Linked DNA regions of Drosophila melanogaster. The gene in region 1 interacts genetically with each later gene. Each region holds a gene or a part of one and is shown on either strand. Other genes may lie near its edges.

Region 1 (7,682 bases):
CGGACAGCCAGAAGCCAGACGTTTAACACGGCCAACAAGTGAACGGACAAAAGAGACCCAGTGATGACACTTTGACCTTTTTTCTTTGGCCATTTAAAATACAAATTCTTATTCAGATATCTTATCACATGAGTAAAAAATTCGCATCATCTAAAAGCCTAGCTTAAAAGTGGCTTTATCTGAGAGCAGGTTGGCTGGCTTTCACATTAAGATTTCCAATTTCCAATTCCAAGCTCTATAGGGCTCTGAAGAAATCACTGAGGAAACTCACAGCACCACTGACTGGACAAGCGATCGATCGAGCATTGTCCGTCCATGTCCCGTCCATCACGTATGAATGGGTTGATTCGAGATCCGGGGACAGGGCAAACGACGATGATGGGCAAGAAAACAAGTTAAGCTGTCTTAATAAGATCAAACATGGCGATTATGAGGAATTACTTGGAGATAATGACATCGTCCAGCGACTCAAAGGGCTCGGACTCTCGAAGATTGTGCTCTGGGATCATCGGGCAGCAAGACCGAAATCCAACTCCAAACTTATCTGCAAAACGGCCCCTGGGAAATGAATTCGTTAAGTGAACTAATTGCTCTTGTGGATGCCCAGCGTGCATGCATGAATATATCCGATGTGTATATCCAGATAGTAATTGAATCAGTGGTTAAGAAATCGTAGGCGGAAGTAATTCATGGAGCTGGCATATTACAACGCAATATAAATATATGTATGTAGAACATAAACGGGAACGTCATATGGCCATCACAGATTGGAATTGAAATTGGATTCGAAATCGGGATCGTGTGGGGATCTCGGGATCGGGACCGGGCCAGACCTCGATTTCCTATAAATACGATGTTCACGCTTTGTTTTGAAATTATTTTTATTTCGTGCTAATTAATGGTCGGTCGGCCGATAAGGAAGCACATGATGGCGATAGCCGGCACCGGCGCATAGATAATCCCACTCATGGTCAATCTAAGTCCGAATCAGAATTGGAATTTCCAGCTAAGGCGCATTCGCAGCGCAGGCTGAGGAAAGCTTAGTCAGCGTGCAATTAATAGGGAGATATTCATAAAGGTGTAAAGTGTATATATATAAACATATATATCTATATAAGCATTAACTTAACCCCTTTTCACCATTACACTGAGCAGTTAGCAAGCACTCAACTACTGTTGGACTGAAGAATTCGCGTGTCTGTTACTTTCCCTTCGTTTGGTTGTGAGAGGATCAGGTGCAGTGCAGGGAAGTGGTTATCAAACACCGTATCAGGTCGATGGAATGAAGATGAAGATGGCCATGCATTGTTAGTGCTGTCGTCAACGATATAATTGCTTCAGCTGGAGGAAAAGGGACAGATTAACATTTTAGCGTGAAAGAAGAGAGATGAGGAGATGGAGGAGGTGGAGTGGCAGTAGCAATCAAAGTAGGAACGGCAGCAGCGCAACAACAACAATTTGTTAGCTCTTTACGATTATTGCCTTTCTCACACCTTATTACCAAGAAAATAAAGAAGCAGCATCCACAGGGGCAACAACAAATACTCGACGATGAGACGTGAAAATAAAAAATTAAAGAACCCAAACACACACACAAGGTACGACAAAAGGCAACACAACGAGAACAAGAAGCTGCCCCTTGGAGTGGCGGAGTGGACTCGACTGGACTGGAGTGGACTGGAGTCGGAGTGGAGTGGGATCGGATGGGATGGGATGGAACTGAGACTGGAAAAGGAAGTGGGGGCGGAGGAGAGGCACTGGAAATCGCACACTCACAGCCAGCCATTAATGGTGTACTGCAGGTGCAAGCGAGAGGCAAGTTGTTCATAAACAATCCCAACGTAAAAAATGACATACACCGAGAAAAGAAACCCTATCGATTCCAAATTACCCATGCAGTAGTTATCCAAAACAAATGTGTCGAAACCGAGATATTACACAATATTTTTTGGATATCTTAGGCTTATTTTACAGATATATAAGTACATACGAATTTGCTCAGATCAGATATCAGGATCAAGTGCTTTGAAAATATCCAAACATATCATATGTTTCTCCCTGTGTAGTATAGAGAGTACAAGCAATTTGTTGACTCAAAAAGACAAAGTCATCGGCTAAAAGGATTTCGAATGAAAGAGCAAGCCAGATGAGCAAGGATGAGCGAGTGAGGAGAGTTACATACTTTCCCGGCTACCGATTTAAATGATGTCCAGTAACAACAACAACAACAACAACAGCAACAAGTGGCACTTGCAGCTCTGTTTGCTTAATGAAACAACAGCGACACACTCACACTGGCACACACAAAGTAACACCAAGCGACTGTGTGAAACACCAACAAAAACACCTTGGGCAAATAATGCAGACAGGACGGCCACAGTCGACTTGCTAAATACCCATCAAGTGTTTGGACATTGGCCAATTGGAAGCATATTGTTTCTTGAGCATTCATGTGTGTTTTACTTTAAGAAAAAGTAAAAGTATCTGTAGGAACAAATGTATCTACAAGATATTAAAGTATCTATAAGATACAAAAGTATCTATAAGATACAAAAGTATATATAAGATACAAAAGTATCTGCTGGATTTTAGTGCATCAGCTCAAGGTTATTATGCCTAATTTCTAAGATTATTATTTTCTCCGTGTAGGTCATAGCTGTGACACCTGACCTAGAGGGTGTTGGCCTATTCGTGATGCTCTAGACTGGCGCAGCCCATTAATCCTGGTTGCTACTCCTACTGATGATAACGATCACCAATTGAGTGGCAAAAGGGAGTGGGAGGAGGAGGGGTAGAAGTAGAAGGAGGGGAGCCAGACAACAGGCGGATAAAAACGCCTGTCTCCAAGTGGACTCAAGTGCCGCAGGAGGTGGAGGTTGGAGTTGGAGTTGAAGTTCAGGTTGGTGGACGCGGAGCTGGAGAGGGGGCAGCGCAGCGAGACACGCAGGCTGCCGGACAACCGGCAGCATGGGCATCAGGACAAGCAGAAGAAGCAGCAAAGTCAGAAGCAGAAGCTACTTGAGAGCCACAGAATTCCGATTCCGATGAGGCGATCGTGTGTCTATATGTATGCATGCTGGAGAGTCAGGCATTCCACTCCACTCCACTCCACTGCAGTCCACTTCATTACCAGTTCGCAGATCGCCGCATCCAGCATACAGCTCCAAGGAGCTGGCAATCAAATGGCCAACGTTGGACAATGACTTTCACGCCTTTCGAGCGCGCCAAAACGAACATGTCAAGTACAGCCGACCAGCGGGCATCCCAGATACCCTACATACCTCGGTAGCTTTGGCACTTGGGTATTAGTTTTACGACAAATTTTCGAATAATCTTGGCACTATCAGTTTAGTTTCGAAATGGCCCAAACTATCATTCCGTTAGGGGAAAGTTAAGATCAAGAATCTGCCTGCGAAAAAGTTATATTCGCTAATTTAGCTTATCTGTTTTGGTTTTATATCTGTGCACTTCTCACATGCAAAATTCTGCCCGTTTTCAATTGCACTTAAGCCTACAATCTGGACATCAACTCTCGATCTTTCGATCAATCGAGCAAGGTGATTTGAATGGCCAGGTGAGATACCCATTGATATGGGTAAAAAATATGCAAGTGCTTTCGCACTTCAGCGGTTTAGTTAGTTCTTATCACAAAATTGCGCTAGTGCGAGATTAAAACTCTGCATGTCTAGCAATATTTTCACAACAATCACATAAACTTAGGATCACAGGTTAGTTTTCAATTTCAAATTTGCACACTTTACGTACTCGTTGGCTGTCGCCGGCTTGAAACAAAAAAAAACAAACAGTCGTTTCGTTGACAAAATACAAGGGTGTAAAAAACAAGTAAAGCTTGATTTGTTGGTCCTTTATGTTCCGATTTACATGAGCCTTAAACTTTGCACGTATTTCGTTGGCTCGAAAGCTCCTTTGGGGCTTGAACACAAACGCGAAAAGAGTCGGTTTCGACACTTGAAAAATCCCGCAAAGTTTCGTGGCGCGACCGTCGCACTGCAGCTCCTGAGCTCATCTGAACAAACCAACGAAAACCGGCGAACGTTTCGATCGCAGCGCAGTGATGCCCGCTCCCTCGATCGGATCGCTCTGCTAAAAAGAAAGGAAGAACACATGACGCTTAATTGCCAAATTCCCCTTAAATTCCCATCGAATATTAAGTATTAATGAAATGACTGTCATAAAATTAGGCGCGTATAGAACTGTACAATAAATTATGATTATTTTGGAAAATTGTTGATAGAAAGTACGTACCTTCCAATGCATTCGTTGAACTCTACAAACCAGTTGGCCATAGTTTATTTATACAAAAGTGCTTCTGAGTATTGGTATTTGGTGAGGACATAAAATCTAATGGCGCTTTGTATTGCACAGAAAAAAAAATAGCCAAATTGGCATCACTACTGCGGTTGCCTCTCTCGAACCTTCAAACAATTCTCTCAAACCGCTTCAAGCCGCAACCTCGCTCTTAAAAGCATTAAACAATTTAAATTTAGTAACTGCTTCTTTGTATCAAAGGCAGATTGTTAATTGTTTAAAAAAATGGGTTAAATAATTAATTTGATTTTTTTCCCAAAACATCGTCCGCTACAAATGATCGATTTTTGGCCAAAGTTCATACCCAGATTTTTGGCGATATAAATCCTATATATACAAAATTAAATAATTGTCATTACGCTCTGTTATAAATGCGAATGTGTCTGTTTACAAGTCGTACAAAACAGTGCCACTCTTTTCGGCTAAGTTATTGAAAAAGCCCATTCAAAATTATTAAATTTTTGAAATTTTTTGAAAAATATAATCAGTTTTCTTTTGGATAGCAACAAAGAGAGTTGAACAATATTAGAATGCCATGCCCCACTAAACTCAAAATTAAATTTCCCATTTAACTATATTTAAACATGGAAACGGTAATTTTATCGAAAATTTCGATGACTTACACCCTTATCGAAAATGCGAACATTTTTATTTCGAATTTAAATAGTCATATGTGTTTATTGGCCGTACAATAAGGAAAAATCCTATTTCGACAATTGTTTTTATTTCAATGACTTCTGGAAAGCAACGTAGCCCATGTTCCTTTTCCCCAATAAAAATGCGTTTTGCAGATAAAGGAAAAATACATTGATTGTGGTAGCTATTTTCATTCTTATGAATACACACATAACATTTAAATACAAATACATTTACAATTGAAAATTTTCTCTACATATACAAAATATTTAATTTAAAAATAGGTGAAAAAAAAAAACAAGAATAAATTGTTGTCCCTAGGTTCGTTAGCTTAGTAAACACAATTGATGCGCCAGCGGCAGCGGAAGCAGCAGCAAAAAGAAGATCGAATTCACTCAACACAAATTAAAAAAAAAAATTGACTTTTCTTTTTGTTTATTAAAATGGCTATGGTGATCGGGAATTAAATTCTTCAAGTAAGCAGCCTTTTTTTCTGTTTCCCATTTCTAAATAAGAAGACATTATTCTCAGACGAGACAGAGTATTGCTTAGTAAAAACAACTTGAGGTCGATTTCATTCAGTTTTAACTCTGCTTTCAGATTTCTTCTCATGATTAATATTTTTACACGCAATATCAATAAATTTATTCCTCACAGAATTGAAAGGAGAAGTCAAAGCGTTATTTAGAACTATTATTACATGCCCATAAATATTTTTAATGTTAGTCGTACATTTAAAAGCAAATTGAATTTAGTTAATCTCTTCCACAGGTTCCTCGCCTTTTTTGTTTTTTTTTTTTTTTTTGTATTTTTTGTATTTTGTTTTGTTTTGTAACTTTAAAAGTTTCTTCAATTAATTGAGTCGCAAAATGAATTTTTGATTGATTTCATTGATTGATTGATTTGATCGATAGATACCGCCTTCTGTTTTCTGTTTCGTGCACTCTGAAATCTCTGATTTTGATTTTGAGTTCAATTTCAATTTGAATAACTTCTAACACACATACACACACACGGGTATTTAATATTGGTTGTTTGGAGAGAGAATTGCATATAACGCGCTTTGTGCTAGGGTTCGCTTGGTGTTCTGCTCGTGGATTGCATCGATTTATAGTCCGAGATATCGCTACATATATCGTCGAATATAGTTTGTCGGTTGGCCTCTACGTTCACGTAGCTTGCTTTCAAAATTCGTTGTGTTCTTGTGTAAAAAAGAGATCTCAAAACAAAAGCGAAAATTGCTGATTTCTTGATTGGTTGTCTCTGGTGGTAAGTAAGTTAGTTAGTTAGTTTGGTGTTCTAGTGCTGGCAAAAGTCCGGGAAAAAGTTTTTGGGACTCGCAGACAGGGATTCGGATTCGAATATTGGTGGGGAGTTAGCTGAGGTTAGGTCCATCGACCCAATGACTCATAGAGCTTAATAGTTAAACTACAGATCGGCTCGTTATTTGTACGCGGCTACATGTATCCGTATCCGTATCTGAATCGCTACATCTTAAGTAAGTATGTATATGTATTTCCGATTCGGCATCGGCTGGTAATTACAGCTAAATATCTTGTATAATTGTATATATATAGACAGAGAATAGCGAACATTATTGCTCAGACCCATTAGAATAGTTGTTGGCTGCTCCCGATGCTGATCCTCCTCCTAGACGTGGCAACCGTTTTGAACTGTTTAATTAATACGGTGTATATACTTTATCATATATAATATTGGTGTTTTGCTGTTGCTGCTTGAAGACTAATAGTTAACGGGGCGGCGTCCACGCGGCTTGATCTTCTCCGATATCTGCCACATCTCCTCCTCGCCCATAAAGTCCTTGAAGTTATCAAAGAAGCGTATAATGCGCTCGTTGCGTCGAAATGGATAGGCACTGCAGCAGAAAAAGAAAATTGCGTGAAGTGAAGTGAAAGAAGTGATTATAATTGAATGAAAATTGATAATTACCATTTCTTAAAACGTTTCATGTTGTCAATTATGTTGTACTGCTGCCAGCGCTTGGAGAAGTTTATGACGCCCTTGGACAAGTAGTCCTGGTTGCCCACATGCACAAACGTTAGATCCTGCAGAATTAGGCCGCTGGAACGAACGAATTGATAATTAGCTTTGGCTTTCGTGATTCTAACAAAAAAAGAAACATCAGATCAGATCCTTACATGTAGGGTATGCAGGGCGGATTAGTTTCGGCCAGCGCCTGTCGATAGGCGCGAAAACTGGAGCTGGAATCGATGAGGGCGCAGAATGATCGCACCTCCTCGGTGATGCCTTTTTGCCACTCCAATCTGCAGGACATGGTATATCAACATATCAATGGTATATCAATAGCTTCAGTGGGCCAGTAGAACCTACCTTCTTATGGGACCCGAATCGAGGGCCGACAACAACGCCAGATACGAGTTGTAGTTGTTCATCTTGCGTAGATGCTTCATGATTTTGATAAACTTGTTCACATGCTTCTCCCGCTCCTTGGCATCCTGCAGGCGCAGGATTTTGGAGCGCGCCCAGTAGGACATCTTGTTGAAGTGCTCGGTGAACTTGTTTAGGTTGGGCGACTTCTCCTCGCACTGATCTTTGGCAAATAGTAATACTTCGGGTATCTCGATCTTCGTGAACAGCTCCGCATCCAGCAGCGTCATCTGTTCGGCAATCTCCAGCGACTTGAGGTCGAGCAGACTAGGCTGGTTTCCACCACCAGCTGTACCACTGCATCCACC
Region 2 (7,846 bases), on another chromosome or scaffold:
GGTATTTCAGTGCATATTGCCATTCAATTTTGCTGTGCTCCTAACATTCATCTTTAATTAATGAATTGTTCTTTTATTATTGTTTATTAGTGATTCCAGCCTTTATTTTTCCATCTTCTTTGCATATGCATCTATTCTTTTCCCCTTATCAGTCCATCTTTAATTGAATTCATTTAACATCAACACTGTCGATGAAGAACCGCACTTTACATCCTGATTGTACTATGTGCCCCCATTCGGCTTCAAGACCCAACTCCTTAATCCTTGCGATTGATTAAGACCGAAATGCAGCTCAGCAATTGTCAATGCAACTGCAACAACACACACAATACAATTGAAACACATATAGAAGCAATAATTCGACCCATCAGGTAACTCCTCCATTTGGCCACTTGGGCTTTTTGCCTGACCGCATTCAGTTGGTGGAGACACCGGCCGGCAGTTCTTGGCCCTGCTGCTGCCATTACCAATACAGTCATATTCTACATCGGCACGGTGGGTGCTTCTGGCCCCCTCCCCTCACGAGGACTAACCCCCTTCTGGGCTGTTAGCCAGGCTTTTGTTTTTGTGTACTTGAGAGAGCTACATTTTGTGTGAGAGGATCATGCGCGCTACACGTTTCATGTCCATTATCCTGGATGAAGGCCCATGTCCACAAACTTATTTCGATTTCAAACACAATCGATTGTTTGGCAAAATATCAGGCTATCGTAGTTTTTGATATTTCCGTTAAGCTAGGGAATAACCAATATATGTTACATTTAGAACTATGTATTTTAACACAAAAAAGTTATCGAATTTATAAGGATAAATATTAAATAATATGACTTAAGGAACAGATATGTTAGTTTTGCTGATTTAAATCTTATTGCAGCGCAAGAAATGACAAATATTGTCTTAAAAACATTGAATCATTTTTAAAAGTCGTTAAGTATCTGTTCAATAAGTCGGGCTTAAATGATTCCAATTTTTAAATGGCAAAATATTATGAAATGATCTGATACATACGATATATGGAGTTAAAACTATTCCGTTACCGATCAGTTCTTCCATTGATAGGCTTTTCATTTTTATTAGGTTTTCACCCTTGCAGAGGGTATATGGATATCATTAAGAAGTTTGCAACGCAGTGATGCAGAAATTTGTGACTATATATACATATATTAATGATCAGGGTGAACAACTGAGTCGGTATAGCCATGTGCGTCAGATATGGTGATATATTTCCGACTCCAACAGTTAATACAATTTTATTATTTATAAGATCGGGATATCGGGATAGAAATCATAGTGTTGTTGTTATTGATCATAAACTATCACTGATAATTAATGCAAGGACATTTAAGCTTCGGCTTGCTGAATACAGCTTTGATTAGCTTCAATTGGTTAAATAAGCTTTTAGTTACAAAAGTGGACGATTTCAACTAAACGATTATTTTTAGTAGCTTATTTATAGCTTTAATTCTCTGTAAATATGTATAACAAAAATATTGTAAGTAAAAAAAATCCATTTATTTTGCAATTACACATTTTGATTTATATAGTGATCTATTCGGTTTTAATATAATTTCGCCGAAGTATTCTAGAAAAGCGACCTTTAATAAGCAACCGAAATACTTTGCGATCCTTAACGCTTAAATGGGCGTCCGAAATGAAGTTCGTTTCTGGCATATAGCTGGGTATAAATTTCGAGTTAACTGTAAATCCCTTTGCGTAATACCGTTTATTCTAAAACACAATTTCCAAAATACGATATTAGAGAGTTTTATACAATTTCTTACCAGTGTTAATTACCATTTTCAACGGACATTGTATAGGAAAATTGGCGGTTTCGCGAAGCTGCGTAGTAACCATTCTAAATAAAAAATGATTTTCCACACTTGATAGCATCTGACAATAGTCTACATGTGAAGAGGTAAAATTCGTCACGTATGAACCTCTCTTAAATGTCAAAATGTAAATGCCCTTCAGGTCCTCAACATCTTGGGTTAATATGAACTCTGCGTATATTGAACCAGTGGGGTGGGAAGTTTCATTTAAGTAGCAGCTTACGTTTCTCACCAATTCTGGCATATAATTGAGGCACTCAATTTTCGTCATAAAAACTTCTTTCTATACGTTGAGATAGGTTAATGTAGTAGGACTTACATATATGATTCTATACTACTGACCTCTGCACGAACACTGCTCAAGATTAGGGTCCCCAGAATCAGGTCAACCAATATAAAAAGCTTTTTGACGTTCATACTAGTGGATAACTAATTGAAGACTAAAATCTAATGCATTTCAAACGCACGTAGGTGTGTATATTTTAAAATAAATGGGTTTTTAATGTGCTCAATTAGTGTATTACCTAATTTGTAATTGCTTATTTTTGTTGATAGAACATTAATATCGGTAAATTATTTGGACTTTTCAAGTTGGAGATGCGCAAAGTACTAATAGTATAAAATAATACTATAAAATTATTATATTATAATATATTATAATATTATATTATAATAATTAATACGGATTAGAGTGGGAGATCTGAAACAAATTTGCACGAATATGAAGCATTTAGAATCAGCTTAATAATAGTTTTCTAGTAATAACATATTGAAATAATTTGTATTCTTAAAAAAGAAAAACGGGTTTAAGATGAGTGATGATTTAGCTAGAACTTATACGTTTTCTTTATTTTACTGCGAACGCGATTTTACTGAATATAATTTCTATCAAAGCCCTTGAAGTAATTATCTTGATACCTATTAATTCTTCTTTAAATGGGCTATCCATACTATTACGCATTTATATTTAATTTATTTTTGATTTCTATGACTAATTTCTTGGTTAGATTCAGGACGATTTCATCATATTTTGAATAAGTGGTGCGAAATTACTTTTTTATTGGTCCATTCGACCAGTCTAGCATACAAAATATTTTCGTTAATAACATTGCATAAATTTATAGCTCTAATATATTTTATAATGACTTATTTATTTTGCAGAAACTTGTTTCAAAAAATTAACGTTTGGTGATTCGTTTGGTGATTACGTTACGTGATTCCGGGCAGGCCTTACGTTTCACGTAGCTCTGTTCCGTTTACCAAATCGTTTCGCGAGCTTTTTGGACCGGCGCATTTGTAATTCCATCTCTCTATTTTTCCTCCCCCGCATTTCTTAATCGTTATCGCTCTCTCTCTGCGAATTTTGCAAAACAACGGCCGGCCGTTTGGAAAAGTCGGAAGAAAGTCAGTTGGCAAGTGGAAATCACCGGAAAAACTACACAGCGCGGCAGAAGGAAAAACGTGAAAATCGCAGACGCTTACACCGCAGACGGGAAATAAAAAAAGCCAAAAAGCAGCCGCGAAAGGCAGCGCAGTCGACGTTGGCAGCGCCGAGGGCTGATAACAATAGTTAATAACAATAACAAAGCGGAATAAAAACAAAAGAGAGAAGCACATGAAAAGATAATATGTAAAAACCGAAACAAACAAAAAATCGCGCGTTTAATTAACGGACATACGACGTGAGCAGCGCGGTCGACGCCGCAGTCGCAGTTGGCGTCGCAGTCGCCGTCGCGCATTGGTGTGTGTTTGTGTGAGTGTGCGTGAGTATCTGTGTGAGCTGGAGATATAAAACTGCAATTGATTGCAATTTCGGCGGCATTTGCAAAATAGCAAGCCGGCGAAGAACACAAAACCGAGAAATCGAGAGATCTGCAAATAAAATATACAAACAAATAAAAATATATTAGTAATAAACTTATACAAAAACACAACAAATATAAAATCAGCACAACAAAAACACAGCCAAACGGTAAAGATACGAAAAAGCTAACTCATTTGTGTATCTAAAATAATAACAAAAAGCAATTCGAAAATGAGTACTTCTTGCATTTGTGTGAGCGCAGCTGTTGATGAAAGTGAAGGAAAATCATTCACATTTTCTACGGGAAAATGGGAAAGACAACAACAGCCACACACTCACACAGCTGCAAAAGAAAAGAGAGCACAGAGAGCTAAACTCAGACGACGCCAAGTTCTTTTTTTCCGCTTTTCCGTTGTTTGCATTTTATTTTTGTTTTCTGTTGTGTTTTTCGCACACAGGGAGGAAAACTCAGCCACTTATAAGTTTAAATTTTGAGTGTACACATCTTGTTTCAGTTGTTGTTTGTTTAAGAACATAAACTTTTTATAAATTCAAATGTTAAACGTAGATATTTCGACGTAGCTTTAAAGGACTAAATACTCTTTATATTGCTTTTTTTGCCCAGAATATAAAAGAATATATTTAACTTTACATAAGCTTATATTTCCAACAACGCTAAAAATACACTTTTTAACTTGTTGATTTCTTGACCATTTTTGTTAAAGTTTTTCGGAATTTCACATTTTTTTTATAAATGTAAGTTCGAATATTTATTTCTTTTTCCTTATTACACCTTATTACACTTTATTAAAGTTCATTCAAGTTCATTAACAAAGACAATATTATTTTTAATTAAAGTCTAAATTTGAACGATTTTTTTTGCATTTGTGGAATAATGTTGAAAACAATAAGATTGTTGTAAATAATCAATAAAGAATTGATCCAAGACAGGTCAATTTTTTTCTGTGTACATTTACGAGTCGAGTTCACAAGCCAGACAGCACTGTTGCTTTTGCTGCTGTTTTTGTGAGAGTATCTCATAGCTAGCTACCTAGCTGCAAAAAGTATCTAGATACTTTTGCCGAGTTTCCTACTCTTTTATCCGGCTGTCTGTTTATTGAGACGCGTCTTCAAGTTTTTTCCCCACATCATTGCATTCTTTAATTCCCTACATTTTAAATAGGAGCAGTTTCAGATGTTTCGAAATATTTATAAATATTTTCTTGCACTCGCATGTTGGCCGGCAGTCAAAGTAACACTCAACTTCAACTTCTGTCTGCGCACTCTAATTGAGTTAGTCTGGCATTTCAATGGGAGCAGCAAGCACACGCACCGCTTCTGGTCGAAAGGGGCGGAATGGTATTAGCAAGAAATGGGGGCGGGGCCGGGCTCCAGACTCAGCGGGTGGGAAATCCGGGGGGTGGCTCTTGCAGGGGTCACAGCCTAACCCGTGTGTTAAATTATGCAAAACGCTAAGGGAATGTCGAAGCAATAAGTGCAGAAATGTTTACATTCTCTGGCCAACGAAGAATATTATTCATATTTGCGTTTGGGTTAAATAAATAGGAAATTTGGTCATTTTGGTTAATTATTTTCCTAAATAATAATTAATTTTTGTTTCTTGTTATTTCTAATTATGCAATATTTATTTAGTTCTTTGAAGTAATGATTAAACCCAATCTTAATTTTAATTTCCCTCTACTTCCTTCTGATTGAGTGTATTAAATATTTCACTGAAATATTTTTCTTTTTCATTAATGCAAATGGCTTTTGAACTATTCCACACACCCACTGGTGTCTCATTTATATCTTCGCAAAGCACATTCATAAAAAAGGAACCTACAATTTCGCTCCAAACAACTTTTTTATCATAGCCCGGCTTACACGTACGAACACATATATTTTTGGGTATTTTAAAGGGTTAACACACGCTATACGACTGCCAAACTTTTCCACGTTGGCTTTTTGTGCTGGTCCTTTTATTTTGTGAAAATGTTTGGCATTTTTTGTATTAAATTGTCAGTGAAACGAGCGTTGGACCGTTTCCGAGGGGCATGGCAACAATTCAAAACGTGAACTGCCACTAAAACATGCCAAAAATCTGCGCATTTAAAATATTTGCCCCAGAGCCCATTGAGATCCAGCCAAGCGATGGATGGGCGGCGGAAGGGGAAAAGAGGAAAAATGCAGGCATTTTCCTGCGATTTGATTTAGTTGTTGTTGGCCGGGTTACACCTTTTCACTCACACCTGTCGTCTGTGTTTTTCTATTTTCAATTTTTTTTTCAGCAAACTACACGTCTGCGTTTTGGTTGCCCCCTGCAAGTCCTTTGTTTTCTATTTAATAGCTGTTTTAGCCACTTGCACGTGATCAACAATTAATTGGCAATATCTTTTTCAGGTTCGTCAAATCAAGCGGATCTCTCCAGCCAAAATAATCAGCAATCTGATGTAGCAAACGCCTATATATAGAATATACGAAAATGCAACCATTCCGTTCCGCGCCGTGCTAATGCAAACGTATACGATCCGAAACCGATAAATATAGAAATACAATAAACCCAAGTGAAATAGCAATTTTAAACGCCAATAAAAACAAAATATACCAATTACACTGCCCAAGAGAACATCAAAGGAACTCATTTTGGAGGTGAGTTATAACAACCATTAAACAATTATATGTCTATTATAAGGTATAAAATATGAAATAATAAAAAAGAGATTGCAAAGCTATTTCTTCTAGAAGAACTATAAATATTATTGCATTATAATTACATTCTACTGTAATGTAAAATGTACATGCGAAAACTTGAAAGATGATAATGTTTTTCCACACACACAAGACCGTACTTCTTGTTCCATCAAGTATTTCGAGCACAACTCTGCTTCACAGCTGGGTGTTGTTATTTTCATATGTTGATTGCCTATAGCTTTTCCTGGACTTCTGTTTATCGACTTCAATTTGCTCTAAAACACCGTACCCAAAACTCAATTGGAAATGCAGGAAAAGCCAGGAAAATGGACTCGCACACAGAGAGAGGGCGCGAGGAAAAAGCCTAGACGAAGGGGTCTGAGTATTCGGGGGATCGAGAGGGAACAGGGCATAATCCAGAAAACACCATTCAAGGGCAACTTTCACCAGCTTGCTGGATGGCCGAGGAGCGAATGGGGAGGGGTGAGAGGTCAAACCACCCGGTGGCAACTGCCCATCCATCGCTTAACGTCCTCGTCTGCCATTTTCATTTCGACCAGGGAAAACTCTGCCGCAGTGGTCGGCCGCATTGGCAGTTTTTGGGTCTCCACAGACATCGGACATACATCACAAGCCCAAGTTCAAATTTCCTACTTCCTCTTTTACGCCTCATCCCCTCCCCCGATCAGGACCTTTCCCCCCTACTCACCATCATCGCCTCTTGCCTTTTTTATGAGTGGCAAAATTGTTGTTATTTCTGCCGAGTTTTCCCCCAAAAAAAGGAAATCGGAAAAACGGCTAGAAAGTGTACTGAGGGAAAAAACGATGTCTCTCGTTCCAAATAATGTAAGATATGGCATTTGAAATAATATTTAATAACCACCGCTTAATAAATAATAGAAAATACTGATCGTGCCTAAATGTTGTTCATACATTTACAAATACTTAGCATATTTAGTTGCTAAAAAATATTTCAGTTTTTAAAAAACCTTTTATTCCCGTGTAAGCCAAAGAAGCAAATTTTTGAAAAATGCCTGCCAGCGGAAGAAGCAGCAGCAGCAGCAGGCGGAGGAGCGAAAGACGGTGGCAAGGACATGGAGTGAAAACAGTTGCCTCCGCCGTCGTCTGTCGCTTGACGTCCTTCGTCTGTCGCAGTCGCACCTTCCATTCCATTCCATTCCACCCAACAACCACCCCCAAAACGGCAAAGGCGGCATCCAAGTCCGTCGACCCGGGTTTTCCCACATAACGATGCAGCACCATCGGCTGCCCGAGAGGCGGGCGGCATTTTCAACAATTTCCACATTTTATCTAACCACCCCCAAAGTGTCGACTGCAGAATATACGTATATATAAAAAAAAGGGAAAATCCTGCGGGGAGAGCGCGACGGCACGGAGAGCGCGTTCAAAAGAGCGAAGAGAGTCTCCGGGAAATGGGGAAAGTCGGGGGAAAAGTGGGGAAAAGCAGACAAAGCGAGTGTAGACGCTGCAGACTTTGCTCTAGTGCTCCGTTGTTGTTATT

Evidence for each region. Genes that interact genetically often act in the same process or in processes that back each other up.
Region 2: of shf (region 1) and fz2, changing one suppresses a phenotype caused by changing the other (phenotypic suppression), as found in Drosophila melanogaster (one study listed by BioGRID).

The regions. Positions count from the first base shown.
Region 1 is NC_004354.4:6,775,646-6,783,327, forward strand, and holds the start of shf (shifted), read right to left. Parts: upstream 4,015-7,682; 5' UTR 3,766-4,014; intron 1-3,765. Other genes in the region: C3G guanyl-nucleotide exchange factor, read right to left, coding at 6,709-6,841, 6,916-7,047, 7,125-7,250, 7,318-7,682. UniProt on the Drosophila melanogaster protein: Required for normal accumulation and movement of lipid-modified hedgehog (hh) morphogen. May act by stabilizing the interaction between heparan sulfate proteoglycans (HSPGs) and hh, HSPGs being required for diffusion of hh morphogen.
Region 2 is NT_037436.4:19,230,760-19,238,605, reverse strand, and holds the start of fz2 (frizzled 2), read left to right. Parts: upstream 1-3,232; 5' UTR 3,233-3,592; exon of another isoform or gene 3,593-3,801; intron 3,802-6,033; 5' UTR 6,034-6,282; intron 6,283-7,846. Other genes in the region: CG33647 (uncharacterized protein), read right to left, coding at 1,549-1,728, 1,795-2,112, 2,172-2,246. UniProt on the Drosophila melanogaster protein: Receptor for Wnt proteins.